Drosophila melanogaster: one gene and its partners. The protein of the gene in region 3 interacts with the protein of the main gene of each other region in a pairwise test. Each region holds a gene or a part of one and is shown on either strand. Other genes may lie near its edges. The genes, in order: PAN2, CG5618, Lcp65Ag3 and CG2082.

Region 1 (7,034 bases), on a different chromosome or scaffold from region 3:
ATCAAGAACCTGGGGATGACCCTGCTCTTCCCCATTTGCGTGTTGATGGTCTTCTTCAAGAACAATCGCACCGCCTACGACGTCCTAACCAAAACGATTGTGGTGGAGAGCAATTCCATTGCCGTGTTCCGCACCCAAGGGCAAGCGCAGCGCAATAATCGCTGAGGACGGCACTTAAACCAGCCAAAGTGTGTAGGAATGGCGCACTCCTATGCACTTCCTATGCACATATAAATAGACTTGTTAATGATAAATTTAATGTCGTTATGTACTGCTGTCGTGTGAAATAAAATAAAATATCACATGAATACCTCAGAATCTGCACGATAATCAAACATAACCAGTAATCCCAATGATCAGTAGAGCTTCCGATATTCCTGTAGAGCTACTCTTCACTGGTACTAGAAACTGAATGATAATGAAGTTCTGATACTGAAATGGTGTGCAGGCGGTGATGTTTCGTTTATTGGCTCAAAGCTTTAGTTTCGTTTATTGGCTCACTTCACATTGACGTTCTTCAGGGTTTGGGCCACCACGTTGCCCTTGCCAGGAACATGGAGAGCGGCGCCCTTGTAGCAGGCAACCAGTTCGCCGTTGGTCTTCAGATCCGGGGCGCACGACTCAAAGATCTTCTTCTTGGGGTTGAGCTGGGCGTCTGGCTGGCGCGGATAGCCCTCGCAGTGAACCAGGTCGCCGGGAACAGCTCCGGCGGGCGGACTGAGCACTTCCACTTTTTCCGGTGTAGATGCGCACATGACCATAGCCTCCGAGGTGACGCCGCGCATTTTGGCCGGCTTCAGGTTACACATGACCACTACCAGACGGTTCTGCATCTCTTCCAGGGGCACGAACTTCACCAGACCGGACACCACGGTGCGTGGAGCCGCCTCGCCGCAGTCGATCTTCTCCAGATACAAGCTGTCGGCGTCGGGATGGCGACCCACCTCCACAATCTTGCCCACGCGTAAATCCAGGCGACCGACGTCGACGGGAGCCTCCGGAGCGGCGGCGGGCTTCTCGGCGGCCGGTTTCTTCTCCTTGGACTTCTTTTCCTTGGGCTCCTTGGCCGGCTTAGGAGCCGGGGCAGCGGGTGCAGCGGTAGCAGGTCCAGCCTCTGCCGGCATAACTACTGGGGCCGCACTGGTGCAGAAACCCCGGGCTCCAGGCACCGGAATCTGTTTCTTGCCATTTCGCAGCTCCAGCTGCACCAGCTGGGCCAAAGCCGCCTCAACTTCCTTGGCCAGTGCAGCGTTCTCCTTGATCAGCTCCTGCTTCTGGCGCTCCACAAGTTGCTGCTGGATGCCGGAAATCTGGGGGGCAGTAGGTTATCGAGTGTTCGCAGGCGCTGGCAGGCGGAAATACTTGCCTCGGCTTCAATGGAGTTGATCAGCGCCTCGGCGCGCTCGTTGTTGCTTGCAATCTGCTGCAGATCGGCCATTGTTCTTTTGTTTCTCGCGAATTTTGAGCAATTCTGGCCGTAATTTTTACATGCGGATCCCACAGTCGTGGCAGCTCTACGCAGCATTGCAGTGCTTCTTCTTGCCACGCACAGTGGCGTCGCGCAGCGTTGGACAGGTAGTTCGTTGGCGGAGAAGCGAGAGTATTTTTACATCAGCCCTGCCAGGGTCACTCTAATCGGTGCAACGCAAAAACGGCTGGCAGTTTTGAGCGAAATTTGTTAAAAAATAAACAATAAAAAGTCGCGTGGGCATCGGCGTGCGGCAGATGGATTACGTGTATTGCGGCACCGACCCCATCGGGGCCTCCGAAGACATACTAAGTGGGTCAAGGGGTCGCTTTGGGGCCAACGCTCACCCACACGCACACACACACGCAAGCCAGCTAAAGCTTTCTCCTTTGTTTTCTGTTTACTTTTTGAAAAGGTGTTTATGACGCGGGATCTGCGCCGGGAAACGGGCACTTTTCGCCCAGCTTCAATGGATTCAACATCGGCACCACCGATCCGGAATATGTGGAGCTTGTGCCCGTGCTTGCCGACGGCGGGGAGCACTTCGGCGTTTCCAGCGTGGCGTTCGACGACTACGAAGAGCTGCTGTGGATGGGCAACCAGGGCGTGAGTTCCTCGTCCAGCCTGCCAGGCTTACTAATCCTGAATCTTCGCTCCTTCCCGCAGGGCCACGTCACATCGTACTACACAAACTCCATGCAGAAGTACACATCCTTTCAGGTCCACGCCACCGACATTGTGCGCGACATCTCCACCCTGGACTCCGGAGTGCTGGCGCTCACGCAGACCTCGCTGCGTCATCAGATCCGCAGGGGTCTGCCCAAGTTTACCTTCAAGTAAGCCACCGCGCTGGCACAAAGATTCCCCGAAAGTGAGGTTTCAATTTCTTGCAGATCGAACAACATGAAGGAGATGGTGAGCATGCTGCAGCTATCACCGCATCGTCTGGTCATGGCCGGACTGCAGGACGAGCTTATCGACTTCGACCTGCGCACGCTCAAGGAAACCCGCATAGAGCATGTGGGTGCCGGCGGATGCACGGTGCTACGCAAGAATTCACGTTATCTGTTTGCCGGCGACCAGCTGGGAACGGTAACGTTGCGCGACCTGAACAGCCTGAGTGTTCAGCACACAATCAAGACGCACACCAACATCCTTTCGGACTTCAGTGTCCAGGGAAATCTGCTAATCTCTTGCGGCTACAGCGGAAGGCAAAATAACCTGGCCATCGACCGCTTCCTAATGGTCTACGATCTGCGCATGCTGCGCCTGATCGCGCCCATTCAAGTGATGATTGATCCGCAGATGTTGAAGTTCCTGCCATCGCTGACATCCCAACTGGCCGTCGTGTCCAGCTACGGCCAGGTTCAGCTGGTGGACACTGTGGAGCTCAGCGAGCCGCGAGTATCCATGTACCAGATCAACACCAACGGCAGCCAGTGCCTCAGCTTCGACATTAGCTCCTCTTCACAGGCCATGGCATTTGGGGACCAGTCGGGCCACATCAACATGATTGCCGCTGTACAAACGCCTCAGCCGCAGTTCAATCTCTACTCGCGAAGCACAGAGTTTGCGGACGTGGTGCCACAGCTGCCGATGGTCTCCATTACGGACACCAACTTTCCGCTATCGTCGGTCATGCTACCGCACTTGACGACGGGCACACAATGGTTCTCAGATTGGCCGGAGGAACTGCTGCGCTACCGCTACCACAGGCCCAAGACCATTGATCCCGAAGTGCTGAGCAACATGAAAATGCAGGGACCGATTGGATACTCGCCAAACCCACGCACCGCCCGTCGTAATCAAATTCCGTACGTGATTGAGCAGGGCGGCGTGTGCAGTCCGAACGGAAATGGAACTGCGGCGGCGACCAAGGCGGAGAACGGTGTGAAAATCATTCCACGGCGGTATCGCAAAGTCGAGCTGAAGTACACGAAGCTGGGCACCCAGGACTTTGACTTTGACCAGCATAATCAAACATGTTTCGCGGGGCTGGAGGCAACGCTACCGAACTCCTACTGCAATGCTATGCTACAGATTTTGTATTTCACCGACGCGCTTCGCGTGAAGCTGCTGGAGCATTCGTGCATCAAGGAGTTTTGCCTGTCCTGCGAACTAGGGTTCCTCTTCAACATGCTGGATAAAAGTACCGGTTAGTTTGCTTGTGTAACTTAACTATCCTTAGTTTAAGTATTTATGTGTGCTCCTTTCAGCTTCTTCACCTTGCCAGGCCAGCAATTTCCTGCGATCTTTCCGCACTGTGCCAGAGGCCTCGGCACTGGGATTGATTCTCACCGACCGCTCATCGAACGTCAATCTAATATCGCTGATACAGGCAAGTAATACCATGGTTTCCTAAGCAGATATTTAATTTATGCACACTCTCAGAACTGGAACCGATTCATTTTGCATCAAATGCATTACGAAATATTCGATTCTAGCAAGAACGCATCCACCTACAGCGGATCTGTGCAAACATCAACGAACGGTAACCACAGCCGAGTTTATCCTTTACAAATAAGTGAAACTTCGATTTATTTTGCAGCGGAAAACGCGGGCTCTTCAGAAACAAGTGGCTCCTCGGACCTTTACGATTCCATAAGTGGTGGGCAGGTGAATTAATGGTTTAACTAACACTCTAATCATATGTACGTATATGAACAGATGAGAACTCCAAGGAGGACGATCGGGAACGCAGTAAGATCAACGCAGAAACTGACATCAGTAAGATCTTTGGGACCAAGCAAATCTGTATAAACCGCTGCATCAAATGCCAAGAAGAGAAGATAAAGGAAAGCATTCTACTTGCCTGCAATTTGTCGTATCCCAACCACATCAAAGATAGTGATCAGTATTTCAACTTTGGCACCATTTTGAAGCGATCTCTCAGCTCCGAGAAGAGTATTCAGGCCTTCTGCGAGAGATGTAAGAAGTTTTCGCCAACCAATCAGAGCGTGAAGGTCGGGAGCTAACTTTATAGTGAACCAAGCAAGAAGTTACATATGTAATGCATCTGAATTTCAGGTGACTTCGCTTCCGCAAATTCTGTCCATTAACTGTGGCCTCAACAACGAAAAAGACATTACCTTCCTGAAGCGCCAGCTCAATCGCTGCAGCGAAAAGACGACTGTTGATGCGGCCGCTTCCTTGAGCACAAGCAAGCCGTGTCGATATGGAGCCAACTGTTCGCGAAGTGACTGCCATTTCATGCATCCGGATCGGTGAGTTACGACGAATCGAAACTGAATCAGTCGTCTTATGCATATTGTTGTACCTACTGTGCAGAAAATCTCCATCGCACACAAGCCAACCGAATGCTGTCAACAATTCTCCCAATGGACGCCAAAAGTCCTGGTTTCCCCTTACATTTACTATGGGCATCAATGACCAAGGTGAGGTGCAGGTGCAAACTCAATCAGATGCAAGCAGTGGCAAATCGGAACAGGAGGAGGAAACGGAAAAGCCACCAACAAAGGGCTTGGACAACAATCGGATGTACGCGCTGCATGCCGTGGTGTGCCAAGTCGATGATGGTACCCAAAAGAACTTGGTATCGTTGATAAATGTGCAGCGGCCATACCACACCATGAAACTGGCTGAATCTGCAGATGACCCTCAGAGTCAATGGTATATTTTTAATGATTTTAGGTAAGTTAGATCTCTATTGTGAATGGCCTTCGATTAATATTGCTCATATATCGCTCAACAGCATATCGCCCGTTTCGCCACAAGAATCGGTATGGTTCACATTGGATTGGAAAGTTCCTTGCATACTCTTCTACAGACACGTAGAGGATGACTCTGAGTCTGCTAGTACTACTAGCTCGACCGTCACGGAAAGTGAAGAAACCATTCCATCAGAGAGCAGCAGCGGCTCGCCAACAAATCTATCCAACCCTTTTCTAGAGGTTAATAGTTTAATATAGCATTGAGTCTGCTGAATGCTAATCTGAATCTTAATCCTACCAGGAAATTGTGAGTCCTATGCTAGGCAACTTAAGTGCAGACGCCACGCTGCAGCCCCTGCAGTCAGATGAAATGCCGCAGTCGGGTGATCTGGTCGCAATGGATGCCGAGTTCGTTACCCTAAATCCAGAGGAAAATGAGATTCGCCCGGATGGCAAAACGGCGACCATTAAGCCATGCCACATGAGTGTGGCCCGGATTTCATGTATACGAGGGTAATTCATTAACTGAAACTTAAAAATATTCATCTCGATAAGCACGGGTATGAATTCTTTACAGACAAGGCCCGGCTGAAGGAGTTCCATTCATGGACGATTACATATCCACCCAGGAGAAGGTCGTGGACTACCTAACTCAGTTCTCGGGAATCAAGCCTGGCGACTTGGACGCTAACTTCAGCAAAAAGCGACTGACTGCCTTGAAGTACTCATACCAGAAATTAAAATACCTCGTTGACGTAGGAGTAATATTTGTCGGACATGGTCTGAAGAACGACTTTAGGTGGGATGCCCTGCTTTGTAAGGAACCAATAGACCACTAAACTTCCATGTGATTGCAGGGTCATAAACATCTATGTACCGTCGGAGCAGATAATAGATACGGTGCACCTGTTTCACATGCCACATCATCGCATGGTTTCCCTAAGATTTCTAGCCTGGCATTTCTTGGGTTTGTATAGGGGTTTTCTTCGATTTGGAATTGTATCTAATTGGGTTTTCCTAATGCCAAAGGTACTAAGATTCAGTCCGAGACGCACGACTCCATCGAAGATGCACGGACCACTCTGCAGCTCTACAAGCACTATTTGAAGCTGCAGGAGGAGAAGAAGTTTGCCAACGCTCTCAAGAATCTTTACGAACGCGGAAAGCAGCTGCAGTGGAAGGTTCCAGAGGACTGATTCGTCGCCAAACCCGATGCCAATTCGACGAAACTCATAATCAACGTTATCGTCAGTACAAACGCTACACCGATCTGAAAAAATCCCGGCTTCTCCCAATTTTATTATGTTTTAATGCGTTGCTATTTGCTACGAAGCTCCTGGTATTTCATGTTGTATTTGTCTATCTTTATAACAAAATCAAAACAAAGCATAAAAGTTGTATTTCTTATCAGTGATGCTTTATTGATCGTTGATGCGAATCTAAGTTGCTTATCAAATCCACAATCGGGCTAATAGGCAAAAGCGGGCAACAGATGTGTTCAGGGATCGTGCACGTCAATCGATTCAATTCCTTTGAAATTCTCATTCGCCCTCCCCTATCACCAGCGGCGTTTGTGAATTTTTGAGATGCTGTCGCCAATTTGATGAATAACCTGATGTTGGACTACTGCGCACCTACTTATAAATACCACGACGAGCAAGTCAAGCCAGTTAGTTGTTAGAGCTCACCATTCACTCAGGGAACATAGATGACAATGCATTTGCTTGGACTTCTCGTGCCGATCGCTTGCGCTGTTTTGTGCGTTGGTGAAAAATCCCTTTACCATGGTCTCGCCCAAACGGAGACTAATCGACGATTCCATTGCTCCCTCAGCTGCCGATCTCCAGCGGACATACGACGGACATGATGGGCCTCACGTTTTCGGAACACCCGGC
Region 2 (4,999 bases), about 14 Mb from region 3:
GTGCATTCCCTTGTCGATCAGATCAGCGTGCATCTAGATATGTACCTATACGTTTTACCAAATTTTTTAATTAGTCGTGCACCAGGCGGAATCGCGTACTTTTAAGCAGCATATTAAATTCGTATTTCGTACTCGTAATTCGTAATTTGTATTTCAATGGTCATGTAAAAGCGATGCGATAGATATTAGCGCATTCTCCGTTCATCTGGTTCGATTTCGACTGCGGTATTAGGAGCAAAAGATCTTCGGTTAACTGCCACATGCCACTTTCGAACGTATCTGCATTTCCCCTATTCAAATTATAGCCGAGTGTTATAAGAAAGTATACAAATCTAATCCATAAAATTGTAATAAAAATTAAACCAGAATAAAAACACCACACAATGAGGATGGGGTATCCGTTTATATTCAGTCGCGAAGTACAACAAATATTTTATTTAGTGTATGAAAAGTTAAATGTGGATACAAAGGAGGTGAGAATCTGAGTTTCGGTTGAACTATCCTGTGTGTTGATCCTTTTGTTTTTTCCTCTTCATTTATTTTTCAATTTTCAATCAGCTTCTGTTCTTCTATTTTTTTTTTTTTTTTGTTTCTTATTTTAATTTAATTCAATTGCTGGGTGTGCCTCTGCAGGTATCTTACGCTACAAGGTGGATTTCCAGAGTATGCAGCTCGATGAATTGGACAATGATGGCTTCGATCTAGATGATTACTAGGAAATGTATCTGTAGAAATGAATTTGCCACTACGTTCGACCGCAAACTGAACTGCAACTACAACTATATGAATCCAGGAAATCAAATAGAATATTTAAATAATATGAGAAAACACAAACCTTCTTCCATTTTTACGTTGTTGGCGAAAAAAGTAAAATTTTAAATAATGCATATAGATACAAACGATAAAATGTTAAATCGAGGAAAACATATTAAAATGCAACCGTTTTACGTGAACAAATTTGCAATTTGAATATATTTTCGAGGGACTAGAGCTCTTGTTATATAATTAATTGTTCCTCTATAAATCTAAATCTAAATCTACATTGACAATACGCCACGTTTCCTAAAGTTTTTGGGTACAAGGAGAATTGTATCTGTGAGTTTTAATCGTTCTATTATAGCTTGAAAACGAAATTTGCACCGAAAGCTGATAAAATTCCGACTCTGCTATCTGCTGGATAAGTAAAATGCTGGTAGCCACTTGGAGTACTACCAGTACAGCAATGAAAGTAAAGTGAAATGGGCATTTCATTTTCTACTTTCTATTTGCAGGCACACTGGAAACAGTTTACTGCGAGATTCCCACTTCATTAGTTGGCAATGCACGTGGACGACAGCAAAAAGCACTCGTAGTACTTGTTTCGCCCTTGATTTGCATCTAAGAATCGCTCAGATACATCTGGTGAGCTGAAACTCGTTTCTGAGCCGCAGTGTCGTGCAGGTATCCGTACTCGTTTGAATATTTGTAAGTAATCATTGCAGCGAGACTTCCAAAAAGTAAGCTCAGCTAAGTTCTGCGGTGTTGGGCATCCAATTAGTTGACCAAGTTTTCTGGTGGCATGCACATGAAACTTGTTTAATCGATAGGGTAAATATGCAAATTTCGATTGAATTTGACGATAATGCGTCGAGATGAAAAGAAAACGAATTGTGCAGGATTTTGGTTACGAGATAAGCCGAATCAGCTAATAAGGCACGTGCTTAATTGATATATATTGTATGTTTAAGTAACCTAAATATGCACGACTTTAATATCACTTTTATTTCGCTTTCGTAATAAAACGAGGTTCACTCTAAAGAGCACAAGCGTGGAGGTGTATGTGTGTTCTTACAGCCCCGATCATTTGTATTTCCATTTGAGTGCGAGCGAAGACGAGGGTTTACAACTTGATGAGAATTTGATCAAGATAACATTAAAACACAATCTGCTGCAGTCGGACGGGGCACTTCTGATTGAATCGTCGACGGAAGAGGTTCGGATCTCGAAAGCCAAAAATAATCAGCCTTTTACTGGCCAATTGAGATACGGAAACTTCTACCGACCGAGTGTAGTATGGCTGAATCAGTGGATGGAGCAGAGACTGTTGACCAGATTCGCGATGGCCTCATGGACGACTGGAAGATCCTGGAGAACGTATTCCACCTTCTCCGGAAGGAGGATACCTTCTGCGTGGATCCCCAGAAATGGGACAAGCAGAAGATAGTCCCCTTTTTGCAGCCAGACAAACTTAAGGTGAGTGGAGCAAGTGATAGACGATTCGGCGTCTGCCGATGTGGAGATAACCAGAGATAACAGAGAACTGATTAATGGAAGAGTTCATTCGAAAATTGACCACCCGACCGCAAATTGTAGCAATTGTACTATGGCTTGCCCGACGAAATGTGAGTCAATTGATAGTAGCACTTCCTGATTGAGCACACTCATGCTAGTATCTGATAGTTTTAATTATAATTGAATTGTTTGTTATTTCATAGATTATGGTCGGTTTTTTCTGGGTAAAGATATTATTAGTTCGAAACAGAAAACGTTTTAGAAATATGTTGAATCTTTAATATACTTTCTTATTGCAAAAGTCGCTGTTCTATAACAATCTTGAGATTACATGATTTCGCACCATCACTTCCAGGAACTGATTAACCTGAAGGTTCGAGAGACGGAAAACTGCTCGCTCGCGGAGATCGAGGAGCTGTGCCAGCAGGTGATCCATTACTCTGTGAAAACCTCGCACGGCCGCTTCCACAATCAGCTCTTTGGCCAGCTGGACCCGTTTGGACTGGCAGGAGCCCTGGTCACCGAGGCCATGAACGGCAGCACGTAAGTCTGCGCCTTATTCCACACATGTGTCTTGTCTATATGAGTGACCGCTGATTGCATCTCGTGTTCCAATCTACAAGTGGTGTCGGGGTTCAACGTACAGATAATTGCGCTATGTAATGGAGATTGCAAAGTACTACATGTATGTTTCATAACCCCCCCCCCCCCCTTTCGATTAATTTAAATGGGGATTAAGCAGAGTTCATACACAATCATTGCAAGTTATTAATCATTTAGATGAGATTTCCTAGATAGGACTACCAAAATCAGACTTTTAACCGAGGTATCCAACAAGACACAATAAACTTTTGTTTCAGATACACCTACGAAGTTGCGCCCGTGTTTAGCTTGATCGAAACTGAGGTGATCGCGACCATCTGCAAGTTAGCGGGATACAAGGAAGGCGATGGCATCTTTGCGCCCGGTGGCTCCACCTCCAACATGTACGGCATGGTTCTGGCCCGCTATAAGATCGCGCCCGAGGTGAAGACGTCTGGAATGTTTGGAATGCGACCGCTGGTGCTCTTTACCTCCGACGAGTCGCACTACAGCTTCGTGAAGGCGGCCAACTGGCTGGGATTGGGCAGCTACAACTGTGTGTCGGTGAGGACCAATGAGCGGGGTCAGATGCTGTTGGACGACCTGGAGGCGAAGATCGCAGAGGCAAAGGCACGTGGCGGTGAACCGTTCTTTGTCAACTGTACTGCAGGCACCACTGTGTTGGGTGCCTTTGATGATATCAATGGTGCGGCGGATGTGACGGAACGACATGGTCTGTGGCTCCATGTGGACGCCTGTCTGGGAGGCGCTGCACTACTCTCCGCCAAGAACCGATCGCTCATTGCCGGCCTCGAGCGGGCGAATTCGTTTTCCTGGAATCCGCACAAAACCATCGGCGCTCCATTGCAGTGTTCACTCTTTTTGACCAGGGAATCTGGCCGTCTGCTGGAAAGATGCAACAGCACCGAGGCGCACTATTTGTTCCAGCAGGACAAGTTCTATGATGTATCCTACGATACGGGAAACAAGAGTGTCCAGTGCGGCCGCAAGATCGACGCTTTCAAGTTCTGGCTAATGCTTAAGGCTCGCGGATATGGAAAGTATGGACTCATGGTGGACCACGCCATCCACATCGCCAGGTTGCTGGAAGGCAAGCTGCGCCAGCGTGGAGATCGCTTTAGACTGGTGATCCCGGAGCACGAGTACTCCAATGTCTGCTTTTGGTTCATTCCGAAAGCAATGAGGGTGTCCAGCGAGGAGGAGACGCCTGAATGGTGGAGTCGACTTTACACTGTAAGTGAATAACAATGGCTTTGATAGACCATTTAAGCTCACATTTTTATATGCTCCTTTAAAGGTGGCCCCGAAAATTAAGGAGCAAATGGCCCACAGCGGCACTTTGATGATTGGTTACTCGCCTCTTAAAGCTAAAAATCTGGGCAACTTCTTTCGCATGGTCTTCACTTGTTTTCCCATCCTGAAAAGCAAAGAGTTGGACTTCATTTTGGACGAAATTGAGAGATTGGGCGAGAAAATTGTGCTTTGAATTATTTTCTATGTGAATTAAGCTAATTAATGGAAATCGTTCAATTGTACATTTCATTGTAGTTATTACTTTGTGATAAAAAATACGCCTTTATTATGTAAACTCGGCTTAATCTCTATTTTGAATATTTAAATAAAAATCTTTCAAGAAATGAATATTAAGTTTTTTAAATTCATTTTCTACCGCTATCAACAAATAATATTAGCCTGGTCACACGAACATCCCCCAGCAGTAACTATCGATAAAAGTGTTCACGGGTATTGTTGTTATACCCCAGCGCGGTCATACCTTTACGTGAGATCAAAACAATAAGTTTTTGTTGAGAAATTATTTGTAAAACCACGCACATAAAAAGACGCTACGATGGGTCGCGCCGAGGTAGGTACGCCCAAGTACCTCGCCAACAAGATGAAATCGAAGGGTCTGCAGAAGCTGCGCTGGTACTGCCAGATGTGCGAGAAGCAGTGCCGCGATGAAAACGGCTTCAAGTGCCACACGATGAGCGAGTCCCACCAGCGCCAGTTGCTCCTCTTTGCGGACAATCCTGGCAAATTCCTGCACAGCTTCAGCAAAGAGTTCTCCGACGGCTACATGGAGTTGCTGCGCCGGCGGTTCGGCACGAAGCGAACCAGCGCCAAC
Region 3 (3,039 bases):
ACTATGCACTTTAAATCCGCAAAGCCGACTATGCATTTGGGAGAACTTTTTGTTTTTATTTTATTAAGGCATACTGGAAATTTTCGTTTGATTTTGTTAAGATAAGTTAAAAATAGGAAAAATATATTCTTTTTTAATATTATTATAAGGGCCCAAAAACTTTTTCTTTTTTAATAATGTTCATGTAATAAGAACACCTAATAAAGCCTGAAGACGACTGGGTATGTTAGCGGTTAGAGTAATAAAATACATAATAAAAAATTGTATTTTCAGTTCTAAAATGTTTTTTTTTTTAATTAATAATTTTCTAAATGAAAAAAATACCTATTCTTTCAAAATACTTATTTACACTTCTTAAGAATTGCTTAATGGAAAAAAACCTTTAATTAGGTCCGTTGTTTGCCATAAGAATCTAGTTCTATTTATCTGAACAACTTAACAAAATATTTTCAAATAATCGCCTTTAAAAAAAAACGACGTTTCCGACCTTTTGAGCGAAAAGCACATTTAAAATAAAACGAATTCATATAAAATCTACATTTTTTAATATTCAACAAACTGCGTTCTGTAACTTAGGATTCTTTCCCTTTTAAAAGGGAAAACCGAAAGTAGGTAAGTGTTGGGGAAGATAACAAAGAGTGTTGCAGAATTGGTGGGTTTAAAGCTGCTTACAGTGAAAGCAACTTCACTTATGCCACGGGGGCAACGGGCAGATGAGCACCCTCGGGCTGGAATCCGTTCTTATCGGCGATGTAGTTGACTTGGTAGGTCTGGCCATCATCAGCAATGAAGCGGTAGGATCCACTCACAGAGATAGCCTCGTTCTCAGTTCCAATGTCGTTCAGCTGACCTACAGCTTGAGCAGCCTGTCCATCGGAGGTTTCCCAGCTAAGAAGGAAGTCAGTGTCAGCTAGGTATCCTTTTGGGTCATTTCTCATAGGCAACTTACTCGTATTTGAAGCTTTCGGGTCCAACGTCGGATTCAGAGCGCACGATTGTGGGTTCCTCAGCGGCAGGAGCAGCCAGAGCCACGGCGAAGAGGGCGACGAAGACAATCAGGAATTTCATGGTGATTGTTGTTTGGTGCTTAGATCTGCGGCTATCGAACAGTTCAAGTCGAATGGTAACTATGGACGGCCGCGTAAACCCTTTTATAGATGGCACCCTCTTGGCGATTATTCAAAGCGCGGCCGAACTAGTCAAACGTGTACAAGACATAATGAGCAAAATCAATGTTAATGTGAAATGTCTGGTTTGGATTTCATTTTCGTTTGAAGTAGGAGCATTAAAAGGCCTAATATAAAATTTTAATAACACTATAGTCCAAAAAGAATCGCGTTCATAAATATTTCATTATTCAAATTTTTAACAATTCATTGAGCTTTATTATATTTATAATAATCCAGCCAGTCTTAGTGACGTCAATAAAACTCGGGAGCTTCCTCAAATATATACATTTTTTCTATTTACTTTTCTAATTCTACGAATCTTTTACATTGGATAAATAAAGTCAACTTATTTATTCGCATCCGGAATCATTATACATCCAGGTATCTCCTAGGCTACTAGCCTGAACTTGGGATGGTAGCCAGTTTCGTCGGCCGTGAAACTAATCTCGTATTTTTTGCCATCTGGAGCTGACCAGCTGGTCGATCCCTGGACAGACAAGGAACCATCCTCTTCGCCGGCTCCAGGTTTCACCTCACCGGTCTCAGTGCGTGAGATTCCGTTGCTCGTCTCATAGCTGGAATTCGATGTTAATTGTTTTTAATAAATTAATTATTGATTGAAATTGTATATAGGAACATCGAATAATTAAACACCTGTTACAACTAAGCATTTCAAAGCTACCCTCTTTAATTTTGCCCTTGCAGAGGCTTATACCTCTGATATCAGTCAGAAGTTTGCAACGCAGTGAGGGAGACATGTGCAACTAAATAAAGTTTATATATGTGTACATATTTATATACATCAGTTTCAATAGTCAAGCCGTTTCTACGCAAAATAGTAATAGTATCTCAGTTTAAGGTTAAAAAATTTTACAATTAAATGCATTATGTCCAAATCATTTCTGGGCAATACCTACGCAAAGGAATATTTATCGCCCGTGTTTTCGCTCTCCAGTTTGATGGTCTCCGCCTGGGCATCCTCACCAGCGGGAAAGGCCAAACAGATACCAATTGCCAGGAAGGCTACCAGCCACATGAAATTCGATTGCATTGCGGAAAGAATTAGTTTTTCAGAGTCTCCGTCACAGCTAGCTGCACTTTACTGAGCTGCGATGCGATCATCTGATGCCCTTTTATACGAAATCTCTGGATTATGTCCTCATCGGCGAAAAATGCAAAATAATAAAACAAATTAAAAATAAAGAAATCAGCTATAATGCAAACATTCAATAAAACACATTTTAATTACAGATTAACACTCTAAGTACCCTGCACTAATCGTGCATGCAGGTATATCCAACAGATGGTAATGTATGCAATTACCTTGTCGACAGTCAATTGATAGACAGAATGACGCCTTACCTTGCCATCACCTTTGAATTCTCAAATCTTATTGGTTAATTAAGCTAATCGTGAACATGTTTGTTTGAAACAAACAGATAGAACGGTGAAAATTTGTATAAAAAACAGTACACGATCACCATTTGCTATATACATATAAACTCAGGTTTAAACGATGTCTTCTAGTCGAGATGCATAAAGTTCTGTATTCGAACTTTTTATTATTGTGCATTGTGATTTTGCCATTGTCATTTCTCATATTATCATCTAATGTTTGAATAAGTAAAGCCTCAGCAAATGCTTTGTGTACACTACTATTGGTATATACATTAATTATTAATAGAAAATATCAATCAGCAATCCAACAAGCATGGAATATTCTACATATCAGAGTATTCTATATCAAATATCAGAGTATTTTACAAACATTTAATCGTGCAGCGGTCACGTATACACGCTGTGACCAGTTTCTATTCTTCGAATATCTATAATCAGTCGGTTCTTTTTCGACTACGACCTTCCCCATATG
Region 4 (4,838 bases), on a different chromosome or scaffold from region 3:
CATGCAGCGCTGTTCCTTCGCCCGCCTTTTGCTTAATTCCTTTGTCTGACTGGCGGCTTTATGCGCTTTCAGTCATCATCATCATCCCCATTTGTTTAATTAAAGCACGTGTCGAAATTGAAACACAAAAAATTATGACACATATCTGCTTATGGCCTTGGCGGAAATGCATGCAAATTTTGAGAAGATCAGCGAATTGCTCTCGTAAAACATACATTTAATATGGTTCATTTAACTGAAATGAAACAACCTTTTGAAATTTTTAAAATATCTTCAACGGTTTTTCTTTCTGTGCTCTTGTAAATCGAAAGAATTTAAAATCGCATGGAGTATCAAGTATCCAAGCCTTCAGTTCATCCAATATTTTTGGTTTACCCCTAATTGGCTTCAACATTTTGCGCTTTTCTCATCCAACTTTAAATTACTTTCACTTTGGCCAGCCAGCATTTTCGAGCTGCATCATCGGTAGTTGCGAAGGGGATGGCCTTCGATGTCAGCACATAATAGTAATCCATTCCATCATATCACCGTACCGGCCGCACCGCACCTCTGCACCTATGCTCTGTGACCCTTTTTCCATATCCATATCAGAAATTTCGACCCGGCGGCCACGCCCCCACCCACAGGCACAGCCCCTCGTGGCATAACCGCAGCCGGCTTGACCTAGGACACGCATATTTCTAATGCGCATTTCGCCAGAGAAGTGGGCGGAATTGGGGTGCCCGGGTCGTCCGGGGAGACGGATTTGCGCATTTCCCGCGCGCTGACAAATTAGCACATCAAAACAAAAAGGCCAAAAAGGCTTAGAGCAACAAGAGAAGAAGGGCTGCAAAGGCGAGAGCCCGCCGACAATAAAGAGTCTGCTCAACAATGCCACCGAAAACAAAGTAAGACAAAAAGGATTTTTACATAAACCCACGCAAGACACCCACACAAACGCAGGCCAGCAGAAACACACACACACACTCTTACAGCGACGAACGTGAGTGGGCGCCAAACTAAGCGCGCCCAAAAGTAGGCAACGGAATTTTCTCGGCAGAAGCTGTAGGTGCGCGTGTGTGCGTGCATGTTGCAGTGCGAGCGTTGCCAGATGGAAAGAAACGTATATGTGAATGTTCCCTTGAATTTTAAACTGCAATTACGTTCTTTAGAGGTAATTGAAATATTTGGGATTGCTTGACGTAAACAAATGAGAATGAGAAATATTTATATTTTCTGGTTGGTATCTAGAATCACTCTTTGCCAAAGCTAAAAATACTATAAAATTACACCACAAACAAATAAATAGTTCATAAGCTGTATTTAGCTAGGTTTTATAGGTAGCATATTTGTCTAGATGCATATTTTAAGTAATCGTAATGCATTGAAGATTCCAGAAACTACTATTGACGCATACAAAGTCAAAGGACCAGAAACACAATATCTAAATGTGATATAAATGTGATATAAATTTAATACTTTTCAACACAAAACTCAGTTGGGAGTCGAATTTCGTAATGCGTAGTTGGTGGGCAACCATCTGGCCACGCTCTGTGCAACACCTTCCCAACAAACTGCCCTACGGCAACATTTCAACACTTGGCCCACCCCCAACCGCCTCTTTTTCCCCGGCAGCATCACTGCGAGAGCGAGAGAGACAACGGTAGAGGGGGAGCGAGTGGGCAGAAGGCGATTTCACTTGGCCATTTCACTCATCATCAGTTTGTTTTGCTCCCCGTTTCGCTCAGCTTCGTTTCGCCTCGGAAAAGATCGGCTTTTCACGCCGGCGATGGCGATGGCGTAGCATTTTCCCATGATAAGCCAGTTTTCCCAGTCGTCGCCAGGCGTTCGAAGATTGCGCATTCGTTCAGAAACGCGGTTCCGCCCGATTCGCATCCGATTTCGGTTTCCATCCTCGAGTGCTGCTGTGCGCCTGATAGAGCCCCGTTCGAGCCACGCTTGTGTGTCCCGCAGTTCCTTTGAGCAACCCAGTGAAGTGAAGCTACCGTCGCCCGAATCCCACACCATGTCGAAGCCGGGAACCCCCAAGCACGGCGCCGGCTCATCCTCAGCAGCTGCTGCCCCCGAGAAGATTAGCGTGAGTTCCGACATAGCAGTTTACCGCCAGGAGGACAGCTTTTCGAAAAGTGCATCCTGGCTGATTTGGGATGCAGAGCATCAGAACACCATAATATCATGTTCCACATCACTCCCGTCCGTCAAGTGCGTTAATGCGCTTTTCTAGAATTCTCTCTGTGCGTATACGTAATATTCGTAACACGCCGAGCTGCAAGTGCGAGCGACTACTTCTGTTAACATCTCAAGTGTCTGAGTGGTATAATCTTTCAAAAAAGTCGGGATAAATATTTGCACGGAAATTAGTGATGAAATTGCAGACGAGTGAATTAGTTTGCTATAAGACCAAGTTGTTCTGAATAATATTTAAAAACCTACCTAAATTAAGAAATTATGAAATATTTCTGAGCACTTGTACCACGAAAAAGCTATTAGTTTTTCTTCCACATGAAAAGGGCTAAATAGCACGTAAATGGAAAATTATACTATCAAAAAAACGTAAGGTGTTGAAAATGTAATCAACTAATTTCGTGACAGTTCGAGGGCTTTGTGGAATTAGTCTACCTAAAATTCATCCCCTTTACTTCCTTCAATTAAAAAAGGTGAGCGCGAAATGCTAAGCCAGACTAAGCCACCGCGATCGAATAGAGAAAACAGAATACAGAATATATTGTAGAAACATATGCTGGTGACCTCGAATTCCCCTTTTGGCACGGGGTTACCTTTTGTAGTTGGGTGCTGTTTGCTTTTTATTTTTTTGGCCCTCGGTGCCCAGTGAACTGGGCTCAAAGGGCATAGCATACTTTCTGTCTTGCGCCTCATAAAAATTGCATAATTGTCGTTCTGCATGTCGTTGTTTGTGCGACTCTTTGTGTGGTCCTGTTGATGTGGCTATTGGAATGGGGGCGACTCAACCATTAGCCTGGAACTGCATGTTTCTTTTTACGTGCCATTTGCGGTCGCATCTGGCACACAGCAACTGCGTAGAGTGGGCCAAAACGAATCTAGGTGCTCAAATGGGCAAAATTATGGTGTTCGTTCGGTCTTATTGGCCTGCTATTTCCCTCTTTTATTAGGCAGCTAATTATATGGCGACAAAGTGGTGCGGACTCTAAACGGAAATAAAGGAACATATCCAAGTTGAAAGTTAAAGTGAATGCACCCACTTCATTGAAATATGGTTAATTTATTGTTGAAATGCTACATGTTATTTGATAATTTGCGGAGAAAACTAATAACTGGAATATAAAAATTAAATCTTTATAAATATTTGCTATGTAGCATTTTTTCACTTATTCGCTTTTGGCCCTCGTGGCTGGCTCATAATTTCCCCATTTTCCTTTTCGACTGAGCTCATTAAATCCTGACCACAATGTGAGCTGCGCCACTTCCACCCCGACCACATGGTGCACACCCTCTTGTCCTGCATTGCAATCTCAATCCAAATATGCTGACTAAAGGGCTTTGCTGGAGTAAATCTCTGCGATATATGGCTGTATTCCTGTCCGACTCGCTTTGTTTCCCAGTTTTCCGCAGGGCTCGCTCATCCCCTCAAGCGGAATCTGAATGCGATGGAATTTAACTAGGGAAAAGCATAATGGGGAGTCGGCTGTCCATATAGGGGTATGCATTATACATGATACTGCAGACCGGGCCAGACCTATACCACTATTCCCACGACTTTTTCCATTTTCCTTCGACATTCTGCCCGCGGGTCTTCCATTGGCCGCCTTGAAGAAACTTCCCATAATTTGTGCTGGCCCACACTCACACTTCAGGATATAAGTCCTTTTCGGTCAAGTTTGCGTTCTTTGTTCCGCCCAGCCAAGTTTCTTCATCCTCCGAGTTTGTTTTCGCCGGAGCATCTGGCGTGTCCCCTGTCCACAAGACGAAAACTTGTTGACTTCGAAGGCATCGAAAAACACGCGTTTCTCCTTTTATTTCAATTTTTTTTTCATATTTTTTCCTCTATGCATTGTTAAGTGAGTGGGAAACGGTGGCGTAAGAACTTTGCCACCGGCAAAGTGTCAAAGTTTGCAAGGCAAGGTTGCTCATACGCCCCGTTGCCCCCTGCGGCTGCGGGCGCAAACTTAAAGAACATTTAATTGGTGGCTTTAAGCACCGGCCTACATGCCCGCGTGATTTGTTTGTGTCTATTAAAAATTCCCTGGCAATGCGGTCGCTTCGCCAGAAAAGTGTGCTGGAATTTTGTTTGCACAACTTTTCGCATCACTTGGGGGCTTTTGCCTTTATGCAACCGACCCCCACCCCTCCCCCTGCAAGGTTTTCCATAAATTCAAACACTTTTACCCAGATTTTCACCGCCCTCATAACGGCATCCGCAGGCTGTTGGAAAAGTGTCGGGGCATAAAAATCCCATCAAGTATACGTCAAAGTGCGGCCAACTTGTGCTCCTCTTAGATAATGCCTGGCAAAAAGGTCCTGCACGAGAAGTCAAAACGATTCCAATTCCAAAATGCTGACTGTGACTTTTCGCTCTGGATTTAATTGCATTTCAACTAGATAGGCAAATTCTACTTGGTCTAGAAGAGCCATTAAATGGTTCACATCTACATATGGCAACTGAATGTTTTAGTCTCCGAAAATCCACCTGCCACCAATCTTTGAATCGGACTACTAGGGCAGAATAAATATGTAACTATGTCCCAATTATAATGCACTGCACAATGGCACAGTCCACCGATGATTACTATGGATACAGACTCGAATTTGTGTACATTAGCAGGATTTGCTGTGCCAAATCAGCTGGGAAATTAAATATC

Evidence for each region.
Region 1: the proteins of Lcp65Ag3 (region 3) and PAN2 interact in a two-hybrid assay, tested with the Drosophila melanogaster proteins (one large-scale study listed by BioGRID).
Region 2: the proteins of Lcp65Ag3 (region 3) and CG5618 interact in a two-hybrid assay, tested with the Drosophila melanogaster proteins (one large-scale study listed by BioGRID).
Region 4: the proteins of Lcp65Ag3 (region 3) and CG2082 interact in a two-hybrid assay, tested with the Drosophila melanogaster proteins (one large-scale study listed by BioGRID).

The regions. Positions count from the first base shown.
Region 1 is NT_033778.4:8,926,575-8,933,608, forward strand, and holds PAN2 (Poly(A)-binding protein-dependent poly(A) ribonuclease 2), read left to right. Parts: upstream 1-1,594; 5' UTR 1,595-1,725; coding exon 1,726-1,780; intron 1,781-1,883; coding exon 1,884-2,074; intron 2,075-2,134; coding exon 2,135-2,304; intron 2,305-2,361; coding exon 2,362-3,623; intron 3,624-3,684; coding exon 3,685-3,806; intron 3,807-3,859; coding exon 3,860-3,959; intron 3,960-4,016; coding exon 4,017-4,076; intron 4,077-4,135; coding exon 4,136-4,431; intron 4,432-4,495; coding exon 4,496-4,692; intron 4,693-4,756; coding exon 4,757-5,119; intron 5,120-5,180; coding exon 5,181-5,379; intron 5,380-5,440; coding exon 5,441-5,652; intron 5,653-5,716; coding exon 5,717-5,938; intron 5,939-5,996; coding exon 5,997-6,106; intron 6,107-6,168; coding exon 6,169-6,335; 3' UTR 6,336-6,529; downstream 6,530-7,034. Other genes in the region: CG8237 (uncharacterized protein), read left to right, coding at 1-165; AIMP1 (aaRS-interacting multifunctional protein 1), read right to left, coding at 498-1,310, 1,367-1,525. UniProt on the Drosophila melanogaster protein: Catalytic subunit of the poly(A)-nuclease (PAN) deadenylation complex, one of two cytoplasmic mRNA deadenylases involved in general and miRNA-mediated mRNA turnover.
Region 2 is NT_037436.4:20,352,174-20,357,172, forward strand, and holds CG5618 (uncharacterized protein), read left to right. Parts: upstream 1-1,746; 5' UTR 1,747-2,052; coding exon 2,053-2,232; intron 2,233-2,626; coding exon 2,627-2,814; exon of another isoform or gene 2,815-2,956; intron 2,957-3,131; coding exon 3,132-4,107; intron 4,108-4,171; coding exon 4,172-4,360; 3' UTR 4,361-4,459; downstream 4,460-4,999. Other genes in the region: eRF1 (eukaryotic translation release factor 1), read left to right, coding at 1,272-1,381; kin17, read left to right, coding at 4,724-4,999.
Region 3 is NT_037436.4:6,129,862-6,132,900, forward strand, and holds Lcp65Ag3 (larval cuticle protein), read right to left. Parts: upstream 1,129-3,039; 5' UTR 1,069-1,128; coding exon 950-1,068; exon of another isoform or gene 889-949; coding exon 690-888; 3' UTR 525-689; downstream 1-524. Other genes in the region: Cpr65Au (cuticular protein 65Au), read right to left, coding at 1,558-1,744, 2,087-2,220.
Region 4 is NT_033777.3:5,768,869-5,773,706, reverse strand, and holds the start of CG2082 (uncharacterized protein), read left to right. Parts: upstream 1-1,808; 5' UTR 1,809-2,005; coding exon 2,006-2,077; intron 2,078-4,838.